Linked DNA regions of Pelodiscus sinensis. The main gene of each other region encodes a partner of the protein of the gene in region 2 in a complex. Links are inferred from orthologs where the notes say so. Each region holds a gene or a part of one and is shown on either strand. Other genes may lie near its edges.

The links.
Region 1: the proteins of MCM2 (region 2) and DNAJC9 are in contact, whole or in part, in a crystal structure (PDB 7CJ0), measured with the Homo sapiens proteins. The link is inferred for Pelodiscus sinensis from reciprocal best matches to the Homo sapiens genes MCM2 and DNAJC9. Residues at the interface, in NP_004517.2 of Homo sapiens: Glu65, Glu66, Glu67, Asp68, Glu104; in NP_056005.1 of Homo sapiens: Lys185, Arg189, Arg192, Lys244.
Region 3: MCM2 (region 2) and CDC45 share a complex: the UniProt entries of both Homo sapiens proteins name them as parts of the CMG helicase complex. The link is inferred for Pelodiscus sinensis from reciprocal best matches to the Homo sapiens genes MCM2 and CDC45.

Annotation. Positions count from the first base shown.
Region 1 is NC_134718.1:33,557,085-33,560,830, forward strand, and holds the start of DNAJC9 (dnaJ homolog subfamily C member 9), read right to left. Parts: upstream 2,565-3,746; 5' UTR 2,318-2,564; coding exon 2,138-2,317; intron 1,856-2,137; coding exon 1,715-1,855; intron 1-1,714.
Region 2 is NC_134721.1:24,313,117-24,316,862, forward strand, and holds the start of MCM2 (DNA replication licensing factor MCM2), read left to right. Parts: upstream 1-1,060; 5' UTR 1,061-1,211; coding exon 1,212-1,217; intron 1,218-1,889; coding exon 1,890-2,074; intron 2,075-2,843; coding exon 2,844-3,019; intron 3,020-3,746. UniProt on the Homo sapiens protein: Acts as a component of the MCM2-7 complex (MCM complex) which is the replicative helicase essential for 'once per cell cycle' DNA replication initiation and elongation in eukaryotic cells.
Region 3 is NC_134725.1:17,712,363-17,716,108, reverse strand, and holds the start of CDC45 (cell division control protein 45 homolog), read right to left. Parts: upstream 2,845-3,746; 5' UTR 2,529-2,844; coding exon 2,478-2,528; intron 1-2,477. Other genes in the region: UFD1 (ubiquitin recognition factor in ER-associated degradation protein 1), read left to right, coding at 3,404-3,406. UniProt on the Homo sapiens protein: Required for initiation of chromosomal DNA replication. Core component of CDC45-MCM-GINS (CMG) helicase, the molecular machine that unwinds template DNA during replication, and around which the replisome is built.

The DNA.
Region 1 (3,746 bases), on a different chromosome or scaffold from region 2:
TGTAAGAACTGTTAAGGCCCCACAATGGAGTTGCATCTCTGGAATAAGACCTTACATAAGTCTCTTTACTGTGTCCGAGTTAGCGATACAAGTGTGTACCCATTTAAACAGTTAACCAATAAGCTTCAGTTTATCCATTTCTGTTACGGTTACACACCAGCTCCTGGGGAGCTAGCTTCTGCCCCAGGCTGCAGGCTCCTTATCAAAACCTGCAGCACGGGGCAGCAACCAGCTCTCTGTGAGCAGGGCCAGCAGCTGGTGCACTTAAGCTGATTCCCACCAACTCTGGCTCCCAGCCCTGTTCTCGGGGAGCCAGCTGTCACCCTGTGCTGTAGACTCTGCAGTATAAAGCTTATCCTGCAGAGCCCACAGTGTGTAACCACTAAGATTTTTAATCGTTATATTAACAGCTGTTTTTTGCCATCCCTAGTCTCAGTAAACACAGTCTTACCCCCTTCCTGCCTCTGTTACAGAGGCAGCAAGGGGAAGGAGAAGCAAGTAATGATTCGACTAGTTGCTTACATACAGTAAAACTCCGATGGTCCGGCATCCCTGATGGTCCGGCACCATCAGGAACCCGGAAGTGCTCCGAGCAGCCGGACCATTGGAGCTGCTCTGCCCCCAGCTTCCCCAATTCAGCCACTGCTAAAACTGACCAGCGGCTGACTCCAGGAAGCCCGAGGTAGAGCAGCTCTGCTCTGGCTTCCTGGAATCAGCCGCTGATCAGTTTCAGCAGTGGCTGACTTGGGTACACCTGGGGCAGAGCAGCTGGGGTGCTGCCAGGTTGGTCCCCACAGCACCGAGATGTGGCGCTGCGGGGACCACCCCCGCAGCACCCCAGCTGCTCTGTCCCAGGCATGCCGATTCAGCTGCTGTTGAAACTGACCAGCGGCTGACTTGGGGGACACCTGGGGCGGAGCAACTGGGGTGCTGCCGGGTTGGTTCAGTAGCGCCGAGGGGCGGTGCTGCGGGACCAACCCGGCAGCACCCCAGCTGCTCTGCCCCAGGCATCCCCAAGAGCAGCTGGGGTGCTGCCGGGTTGGTCTCGCCGCGCCAAGGGTCGGCGCTACCAGACGAACCCGGCAGCACTCCAGCTGCTCTGCTGCAGGCGTCCCGGATTCAGCCGCTGCTGAAACTGACCAGCAGCAGCTGAATCAGGGACACCTGGGGCAGAGCCAGACTATCGGAAGGGGGGGCTATGAGGAGTCTGGGACCAGACCCCTCATAGCCACCCCTTCCGATAGTCTGGCATATCTGATAATCTGGCACCCCCTGGGTCCTAAAGGTGCCGGATTATCGGAAATATACTATACTACTCTGAGTTACAACAGAATTCTTTCCCAGGTGTCTGCCTGGTAAGTCTTGCCCACATGCTCTGGGGCAGTGAGGGGCTAGGGTTGCCAACTCTCCTGGACTAGATGGGCTGAATGTCATTGCCACAAATGGTGTGCAGTTGGTCTGGGCTAGAAGAGTTGGAAAACAACAGAATTAGCAACTGCCTAGGACAGTACAACACAGATACAATAGATAGCTGGAAAGAAGAAGTTCTCTTACTAACCAAGGCAGCAGCATTTTAGAGCAAGCATCCATCATTATCTATCAATTATCGACACATCCACACTCCTAGGAGAACTAGATATGGGACCCCCTCCCCAAAAGTAGCAATACTAAGACCCCCCCTAGGTCACTAGCCCTTGGCTCTGGGAGCACCTACCTTCTTGAAGAGCAATCTCCAGTATTCCTCCCAGTTGCGGTCCAGGCTCAGCGCATCTGACTCCTCATCTACCACCCCCTGCTCGTCATACAGCGCCCGCTGCGCCTGGTCACTCAGCACCGCGTAGGCCTTGCCTAGGAGCTGAGCAAACAACTGTCACTCTCCGCGGCGCCTGCTCCCGAGCAGCGGCCCGGCCCCACGTCTTGTGCTCAGTCTCCCTGCCCCACGGAAGCAGCCCAGGCAGCGCGGGATGCAGGCTCGCTAGCAGCCGTGGCCCGCGGGCCAGGACAATGGCCCAAAGCCGCTACCTCACGGCACGGGGCAGCCAATAGAGTCTCCCCACAGAGCCCTCCCCCGGGGGGCGGCAGCCAGGGGTGCCGGTCTGGGGGCGCGTCTTTGCCCCCTTCACCCCCACGGGCTCACCTGGAAGTGCCGCGTCGCCTCCTCCTTGCGGCCCGGGGCCGCGCGGTCGGGATGGACCCGCAGCGAGACCCGGTGGTAGCCGCGGCGGATCTCGTCCCCCGAGGCCTCCCGCCTGACGCCCAGCACTTGGTAGAGGTCGGCGGCGCCGAACGCCGCCTCGCACTGCTCCAGCAGCCCCATCCCTTCGCGCGTCGCGGGCCCGGTTTGGCGCGCGCGCGTTACGTTGGGGACGCGCGCTGATTTACGGCTGGGGCTAGAACCGCCGCAAAGACGCGCAGCTGAGGCGGGGAGAGCAACTGAATTCCGCAGCCCTTAACCGGCGCCGCTACGGCCCAGTCCCCACGGGGTCTCCGGCTGGCCGCCGGCAGAGGCTGCTCGCCCCTGGGACTTCCCGTCCCGCGCGAGACGCCCGCCCAGACCACTGTGAGCTCGCATTGGGGCCGCTGCCTGACGCGCGCTGCTCCGAGGCTGGTACTGCGCATGCTCGGTACACGCTGCCGAGCCAGGGTGCAGTTCTCACTCGGTCCCTAGCTAGGACTAGTGCTAGAGATGGAGCCGTGTGAGTCTGGTCGAGCTGAAACAAATGCTAATGGAAACCTCGCCATGAATGACATTTACACCCAGGTCAGGTGCGAGTGCTGCAATCAGGGAGAATTTGTTACTTCAGATTATGAAACGGGTGAAACATTAACTTTCCCATGTTTATTTAAAATGAGGGTTGATAAATTAAGTACAATTTAATTCTCCCTATTGGTCAGCAAGTAGCTCCTGGGCTCCTCACTCCCATGACTGTCCAGTTCATTTATCTTGCCAGAGATGTTGGCTCCTGTGACAGACCCCCACATCTGGGTACCGGAGAGGGCGTCTGCTCAGGGCGAATTGCTCAAAACCAGGGCTCCTTACAGCCCCCGACTGGCAACCTTTCCTAAATAGGCCACAAACCAGACACACGAGAATTTCAGCTGCCAATCCTGCCAGCCAGAAGAATCATGAGCAAAACCCCTTAGACACTCCAGTTCTCTGTACAACAGGCAGAACAGAGCCCATTGCTCTGAGAGAACATTCACAGTATAAGCACAGTCCATATTCATAACTCCACATAAAGATATCACAAGTACATGAATAGCATACATAGAATCAGTAGAACACATGCTTTCATTTGACACCTCACATGGCCCCCTTTGTAATAGACTTTGGGGAAAACACCTTCCCCCCCCACCCTAACCCCCGTGGGCACAGCAGTGATCTGCTACCCTTAAAATCCAATGTGACAGCTCCCAACATCTGTGCCACAGCAGAACTCTAACTTCACAGGCTACAAGATAGCCAGGGACTGTTAGAATTGACACTACGACTGACTATATAGGAATCTCTCACCTGGTGCAGAGAAGCAGCTGGCCTTTTGGTGGGTTAGGCAAGTTGTTGAAGCAGAGATCCTAAACAGGCAGGGATACTCACTGCTGACATGCAGCCACCTATCTGGTGGAGCTGTGTAATAGCAGCACTTCACCATTGTTCAGTGGGTTTCAGGAAGAACTGTTGGTGGATGCTGACCTCAGTTCCCTGATGTGATGCTAAAGGGGTTGATATTCTATCCTTAGATTCATAG
Region 2 (3,746 bases):
CTCTTTCTGTCCCTGTTCAGCCCCACCCTGCCCCCATTCCATTCCTACCCTTCCTGCAAGGTCCCTCCCCAAGAGATGTTGCCCAGAGGATTAGTGGGGGCCTGGCACTGGCAGCAAAGGTCGGGCCCTCCTGCACTCCCCATGGCAGCGGGAAGTTGAACAACCCAGCCCTAGCCTAATTCCCAGCCATGTTGCTTGGAAAAGCAAAGCAGGCTGCTGGGTCACTCCGCTTCCCACTGCCAGGGAATGTAATGTTGCAGTGCTCTGGTGTCAGCACATGGTGGCATCTTATTCCAGGCCCAGCACAGCTGGATAGGGTGAGCAAGTGGCATTTCCCAAGGAGACAAACCAATGCCCGCACTTTTTAAAGTGTCAACAAGTGCCCAACCATAGGCCCTGGAACAACCTCCCCCCACCATCCAGGAGCAACCCACCCGTAGATGGCAGAGCACAAAACAGGCTGTTGTGTCTCTCTGCTTCCTGCAGCTCCCGACGCCATTGGTTAGTGTGGGGTGGGCGCAATCCTTGCTGCTAGTCCCAGGCCTTCTGACAATCTCCTAGGCTGCTTTGGTCTCTGTAGGCCCCCCAAAGCATGAGGCCTGGGGTAGCTGCCCCAAACTGTCCAATGGGCCTGATTTTCAGAGGCGCTAAGCACCTGTAGCACTCATGGATTTGATTAGGTCATTTCTGAAAACCAGGCACAATGTGCCTGAAGTTGGGATCTTGTAAAAACTGGTTGGGTGCTGGGACAATTTTTATAGTGAGGGTGCCAAGAGGGGACCCTCTAGATAATGAAAATCACTTCAAACCGGGGAGGTGTGGGGGGGAGGTTGTTCCAGCGCCTATGGTTGTTGACACTTTAAAGAGTGCGGGCATTGGTTTGTCTCCGTGGGAAATGCCACTTGCTCACCCTACCCAGCTGTGCTGGGCCTGGAATAAGATGCCAGCCTGTGCTGACCCCAGCGCACTGCAACATTCCCGCGGTCTCTGCTTATGTTGTGTAGCCCCCTCCAGTCAGCCTGTACCCAGCCTCAGCACCAGCCCCGCAGCGTCCCGGCACCTTCCCGAATCTCGCGCCGACTCACAACACGCTGCTGAATATTCATGAGCGGCTCGTTAATTATTCATGAGGTTTCGCGGGCTTTTGCCGACCACGTGGGATTGTTTCGCGCCCGGGAGTTGAGTTGGCGGAAGCTGTAGCGGCAGCGGGGATGGCGGTGAGCGGCGGGGTCCGGCTGGGGATGGAGGAGGGGACCCTAAGCACGAAACCCTCCCCCCGGGCTCTGCATGGGGGAGGGGTCCCTGAGCACACAACCCACCCCCGTGCCCTGGGCTCTGCATGGGGGGGGGACCCTGGGCACACAACCCCCCCCCACATGTCTTGGGCTTTCTGTGGAGGTGGGAGCCACTTTGCATGGAAAAACTCCCCCCTCCCCCCCCGTTAACTCTGTATGGGGGAGGGGACTTTTAAAGAAGGTGTTTTCATATTTGTTCATTTTTTTTAATTGTATCCTTTGGTATATATGGTTGTGACTATTTTCTTCCACTATTTGATCTGAGGAAGTGGGTCTGGCCCACGAAAGCTCATCATCTAATAAACCATCTTGTTAGTCTTTAAAGTGCTACATTGTCCTGCATTTTGTGTCTATATGTGCACAATAGGTTAATTATTGAGCTTATTTTAACTTCCCTGGTGGAGATGGCTTGTCCCTTCTCAGACCTACTCTGGCACTGTGGGGTCTGCTGGGAGCGTAGACCAATCAAGCATTAAACATCCCTTCCACTTTATCCAGTTCCGTGGTCCCTGGAGGGGATGAGTTAGACCTGTGCATGCTCTATGGGAAAGTCTTTTTCTGCCAGCCTCTAACACGACTCTGCCTTTCCTGCAGGATTCCTCCGAGTCCCAGAATGTGGCCACCAGCCCTGTCCGTAGCTCTCGGCGAGATACCTTCACTTCCAGCCCAGGCAGAGACCTGCCTCCTTTTGAGGATGAATCAGAGGGGCTACTGGGGACTGAGGGGCTCCCTGAAGAGGAGGAGGATGGGGAAGAGCTGATTGGGGATGGGATGGAAAGGTAGGGAGCATGCAGCAGTCAGGCAGCGACGCGAGATGCTTCCTGGGGCTGTTCCATGCAGGAAGCATGTTCGCAAAGGGGGCAATACCTCTGGACACAGGTTTCAGGTTCTTTTGAGGGCCGTTAGGGAGAGAACTTGTTGTCTTCAGCCTGGTCCTCTTTTGTGCACCTTTCAGAATATACTTTGTAGATCAGCACATTCACGCTGTATGGGTGTTTCTCAAGTGCCTCTTAGGAGGGCATAGTCCATTCCATGCGGTGTGTCAGCTGAAGAGAAGCATGAGATGGGAAGAGCAAAGGGGATACACAGCACTGGTGAGGGCTATGGACAGATGCCCATAGCTAGGATAGCAAGTCAGAGAGGAACGGTTGGTGAGTTGTGAAGGTGAACGTGTATAATTCCTGACCAGACTGTGTCTGGCTCAGATCAGTGCTAGCCCCTCACACAGGGGAGCTCGAAACTCACAATCCTGCTTGTTCTACAAACAGTGGAACCTTTGTAACTGGGTTTAAAAAACCCATCACTTACCCCGGGTCCAATAGCAAACCATTGAGCTGTATGTTACAGAGACTTAGTCTAGGTTTGTATATTGGTATCTATTGTCATTGTATTGGAGTGTCTGCCACTGGTAACAAGAGACTGTAAAATTCCTCTCTGTTTTGCTTGATCTTCCTCATGCCACCTTGCCCCAGAGAGTAAAGAGTCTGGAGAAACACTGTAATTTGGTTGCACCGCAAAACTGATTAAACTAGATCTGTGTGTGCCTAGGGACTACCGCCCGATTCCAGAGCTGGATATCTATGAAGCTGAGGGGCTGGCCTTGGATGATGAGGATGTGGAGGAACTGACTGCCAGCCAGAGGGAGGCAGCAGAACAAGCAATGAGACAGAGGGACCGTGAGCTGGACCGGGGCCTGGGTCGCATGAGGAGAGGGCTGCTTTACGGTATGTCAATGATATTTTAGATGCGATTGTCTCGTTGCAGTAGAGGCTAGTCTCTCTCCCACTGGGAAGAGCTCAGCCCGAATAGCCTGCCCACTGTAGGCGCTCCAAAGTCTGCTGAATAGTAGCTATTGAGGGGTCTCTGCGGCAGTGGGCTCACCTGAATGTCCCCCATACACAATCTCTATGCGGTGAGCACATTAAGAGCTCTGGCATATTAGCCTGGTGCCCTTGACTATGCAGCTGCTGCCGAGTCATGACTCCAAGATCCATATAAGGATTTGGGCTTGTGCTCGGTAAGTGCTGGACAGACTGCTGCACTCTTGTTACGAAGATTGTTGGCCCCTTTCTCTAAAGGGACCATAGATATCATTAACCCTGAGATCCAGTCCAGTACAGTCCTCCTTTCTTCTTGCTCTGGACGCAGGTTTTGATGTCACCCTCTGTGTACAGTTTTTGGGGCCCACATGAAGCTCTTGCATTTGCCTCCATAATGTCTGAAAAGCCAGTGCAACTTGCTTTTGGTACCTATAGCTTGGGGTTTGCAGTAGACCAAATCTTGGATTGGCATGGGGAATAAACACAATTTGGGGAATTACAGACCATCAATCACCTTAACTTCAGTATCTAGAAACATAATGGAGCAAATAATTATGCAATCAATTTGCACACACTTAGAAGGTGATAAGTAATAGCATAAATTTGTCAAGAACAAATTGTGTTAAACCAA
Region 3 (3,746 bases), on a different chromosome or scaffold from region 2:
GGGTTCTTAAGTTGATTCTGTATGTAAGTCAGAACTGGCGGTCAGTTTCAGCAGTGTCTGAATCTGGACGCCAGTTCTGACTTACATACAGATTCAACTTAAGAACAAACCTACAGTCCCTATCTTGTACGTAACCCGGGGACTGCCTGTATAGCGATTTTCAAAAAAAGTTATAGCAATATCATGTTTTTGCAACATGTTTTTCCAATAAAGATTTAACAAGAAGCTCTAAATAACTCATAAGAAAGTGATTTCTTCTGTGAAAAGGCATGCCAGTTTCCTAATGGGATCCTTCTGTTATCAAGCAGCAGCTTTGACATCTGATGTCTTGACCCTTTGATGAAGTTCAATAAATCTGTTCTTCCTTATCTTAAAATCTGTATTTCAAAATGTAAAGGGTAAAATGACAACATTTTCAGCATTCATATGTCTGAAATTATGTTAAGCATTTATCAAAAGCTGGCAATCGTATAACTGATGTAAATTAATTTTATTACAGGATTTTTCTTTAAAATTTTTGCAATCAAATAAGTGATCTCTCATTCTAACTTTATATAACCCTATATTCTGAAACCAAAAGAACAACTCTTGACAGTGCTTGGTATATATTAATTAGTGTCATTTGATAGTTTTTGGCCATGTCTACACAACAAAATTAGGTTACCATACAGACAATTGCAGTTTTAAAATTGCTCGTTGATGCATACACTAGGGATGTTCCTGGCCAGCCGGATAACTGTTCACTTGATAAATACTGCTTACTGGTTAACAGTCCCAGTTAACCTCAACAAATCTCACCCCACTCCATGCTCTGCCTTTAAAACTCAGACTGGCAAGCTGGCTCAGTCCCAGCCCATCAGTTCAAGTTTTATATGAAGAGCATGCAGGGGAGCTGCCCGCCACCCTGTGCTGCTGCCTCTATATCAAAGGCAGGAGCAGCCCCTTTCTACTGTGGGCCCAAGCTCCCCACAGACAGAAGCTGCTGCCATGGAAGCAGCAGTGGAGAGGCAGGCTGTATGAGAAGCCACATTGAAGGGCAGCAGGAAGTCTGTACAGGGAGCTCATTTTTAAACCAGCTCCCCTGGTGGACCAACTCCCACCAATCACACCACACTGCTGTCTCTGAAACAGACACAGCAGCATAGAGTGGCAGGTGAGAGTCGGATCATGAGAACAGCTGATTAAAAATTGGAGGCAGCAGCTGCAAGGTGGCAGGGGACTTCCCAGGAGTGGGCCAGAGTATACTGACTGCCGGCCCTGCCCCTGGGGACATCAAATAATCATGTAACGGCTAAGAATTGTTGCAGTTACACAATTAGTAAAATAAAGGATTTCTAACATCCCTAGCACACACGTAGCTCCTTGTATCAGTGGTGGGCATCATCGCCTGGAGAACTTGTATATCAATGTGGGGCATCACTGGACAGCTTCTGAAAGCCATAAGTTGCTGTATGCAATGCAGTGACACTGTGTTGATTTAATTACATCAACAGTGATGGAGATGGTAATACAAAATAAGCACAGAGAAGCATTTATATGACCAATGCTGGAAGCCAAATTTAAATAAAGACCTACAGCAAGATTGACATAAGCGGCTTATGTCAAGATAACCCTGTAATTGATTTTTACATCAAGACAGCTAGCTTGATGTAAAACTCAATATAAAATCCTAGCGGCCACAAGGCACCTAGTAGCTTTTACTTCCACATAGCTCCCTATCTGGGATTTCTCTCAACAAGCTACACCCAGGTAGATGTCACCGCTCCTTGTCCTCACCAAAATGCTCTTTGTCCATTTCACAATTCAAAACATTCCAAAACCTTGTTGCTGATTCTGAGACATTTTGCGTCTCAGCTCTGAGTGCACTCCAAAGAATCCAGGCAATAAAGCAAAGCACACTCTGAGCGGTGATGTACCCAGGTGAGGACTCCACTTGACCACTACGGGCAACCGAGCCAGAACTTGAATGCAAACCCTCCCTGCTCAGTCGAGTTCGATCTGAAACCAGCATCTGGCACCAGCAGCCGGTGGGAGAGAGAGGAGCAGGGTGCAGGGCTCTGGAGGGGGAAGAGGAGGGGAACCCAGCGCCTATCATGAGGCTGAAAGCAGGGCAATGCATAGGCCCCGGCTCGGTATGGCGGCTCCCTAAGTGACACGGTCCCGCCCTATCAGGACCCTGCGGAGCGCGGATCCAGCCCGACCCACGGGGCGTTGCGCGGAGAAAGGCGCAAGACCCTCCAGAGTCTAGCTAGGAGCCCTCCCATCGCGAGCGACCCCTCTACCCTCAAAGCACCTGCTGGCGGGGAGCGGGGAGAGAGACAGGAGCTGGAGCAGGGCGGCCCGGCGGTTGCTGGAACCCGCTACCTCACTGGGCCAGGAGTTAGTAGGCCCCGTTCAGGATGCGGGTTCGCTCCCCCTGGGCTTGTCTCCGCTCCGGTTCGGGCTTCATACTCCCCCCCGCCCCGGACGCCGCTTACCTGAGTCACTATCACCTCGTAGAACTCCTTACGGAAGTCGGAGAGGAACATTGCCGAGACCGGGCCGCTACCGCCGCGCTGCAAGGCGGGAGAGCGGCGACTGCTGGTGTTGCTCCCTCCGTTCGGATCTCCTCAGTCTCACTCAAAGCAGGCGCCAAATCGCGCCAATTCCCATTGGTCTCAGCGTCCTGGCCACGCCCCAATAACATTCCAGTACTTTGTATCTCTACAGCTCTGATTGGACTATCCATCCGATCGTCTCAGCCCTCCACCAACCACATTGCGATTGTGGCGATCGAGGAGCCGAGCGATTGGCCAATCGCCACGAAGCGCTCCTGAAACCGCCATTTTGTGTGTCCGTCTACATCGCCCATCATCGTCGCCATTGTTGACATGGGCAAGATTCCTCACCAGCCCCTCTATTAGATATAAACAAGCCATAAGCTCTAAAATATAACTGTTTCAGGAGTGAATAGGAAAAATCGTTTGTTTAACAAAAAACGATGTTGACGCCTGTGAAGCAACTTCCGCCTTTTCTCCAAGGGGCTGCACCGGAAGTCTCTTGGCTTTCTCAATAAGGGGCTATTGATAAGCCGTTGCATTCTGGGAAATGTAGTTTAGTGGGAACAGTGGACCAAACCTCCCAAATGTTTTTCGCGCCTTTGAGACCTATGAGGGCGTTCGGTTTCTGCTGATCGCGTTCACCGCTGGTAGGATAGCCCCCACGCCTGTCGAAACTGAAAGTCACTCTTAGAGCAAAGGGGCAGGGCCCAGTGATTTCCTCCTCCCTGCTTCCCTTTCCCTCAGCAGAGGATTTCCTGTGGGGGGAGGAGCAGCCGTCGCTGCATTGATCCTGCCCAGACGAGAAGGCGCTTCTCTGGGATCCCCTGCCGAGAGCTGTATAAGCAAGAAGACGGCGCGACAGGATGGTAAAAGCCTTTCCGGGGGTTTGTGGGGGTGCCTAAGAACGGGGGGCGCAGGGGGACGGGACGGAGAAAGCTGCGGAGTCATCGCGCGTGCATTGTTGTGCCCGGGCAGGGGAGGCGCTAGGGGAGCCTGTCCAGCAACAAACACGTCACTGCTCTGCGAGGGGGTCGGAGTTTGTCCCTTTGGGCCCAACGCATTGAGGGAGCCGCCTCAGGGAGCCTGTCTGGGACATAAGTAAACAACCCTCCTCTTCGCCCATCCCTCCCTCCCGGCCCCGCCGCCTTTCCTTTCACAAGTAGCCGACTGGAACAGGAGAGGTTTTTAAAGCCCTCTCTGGAAACC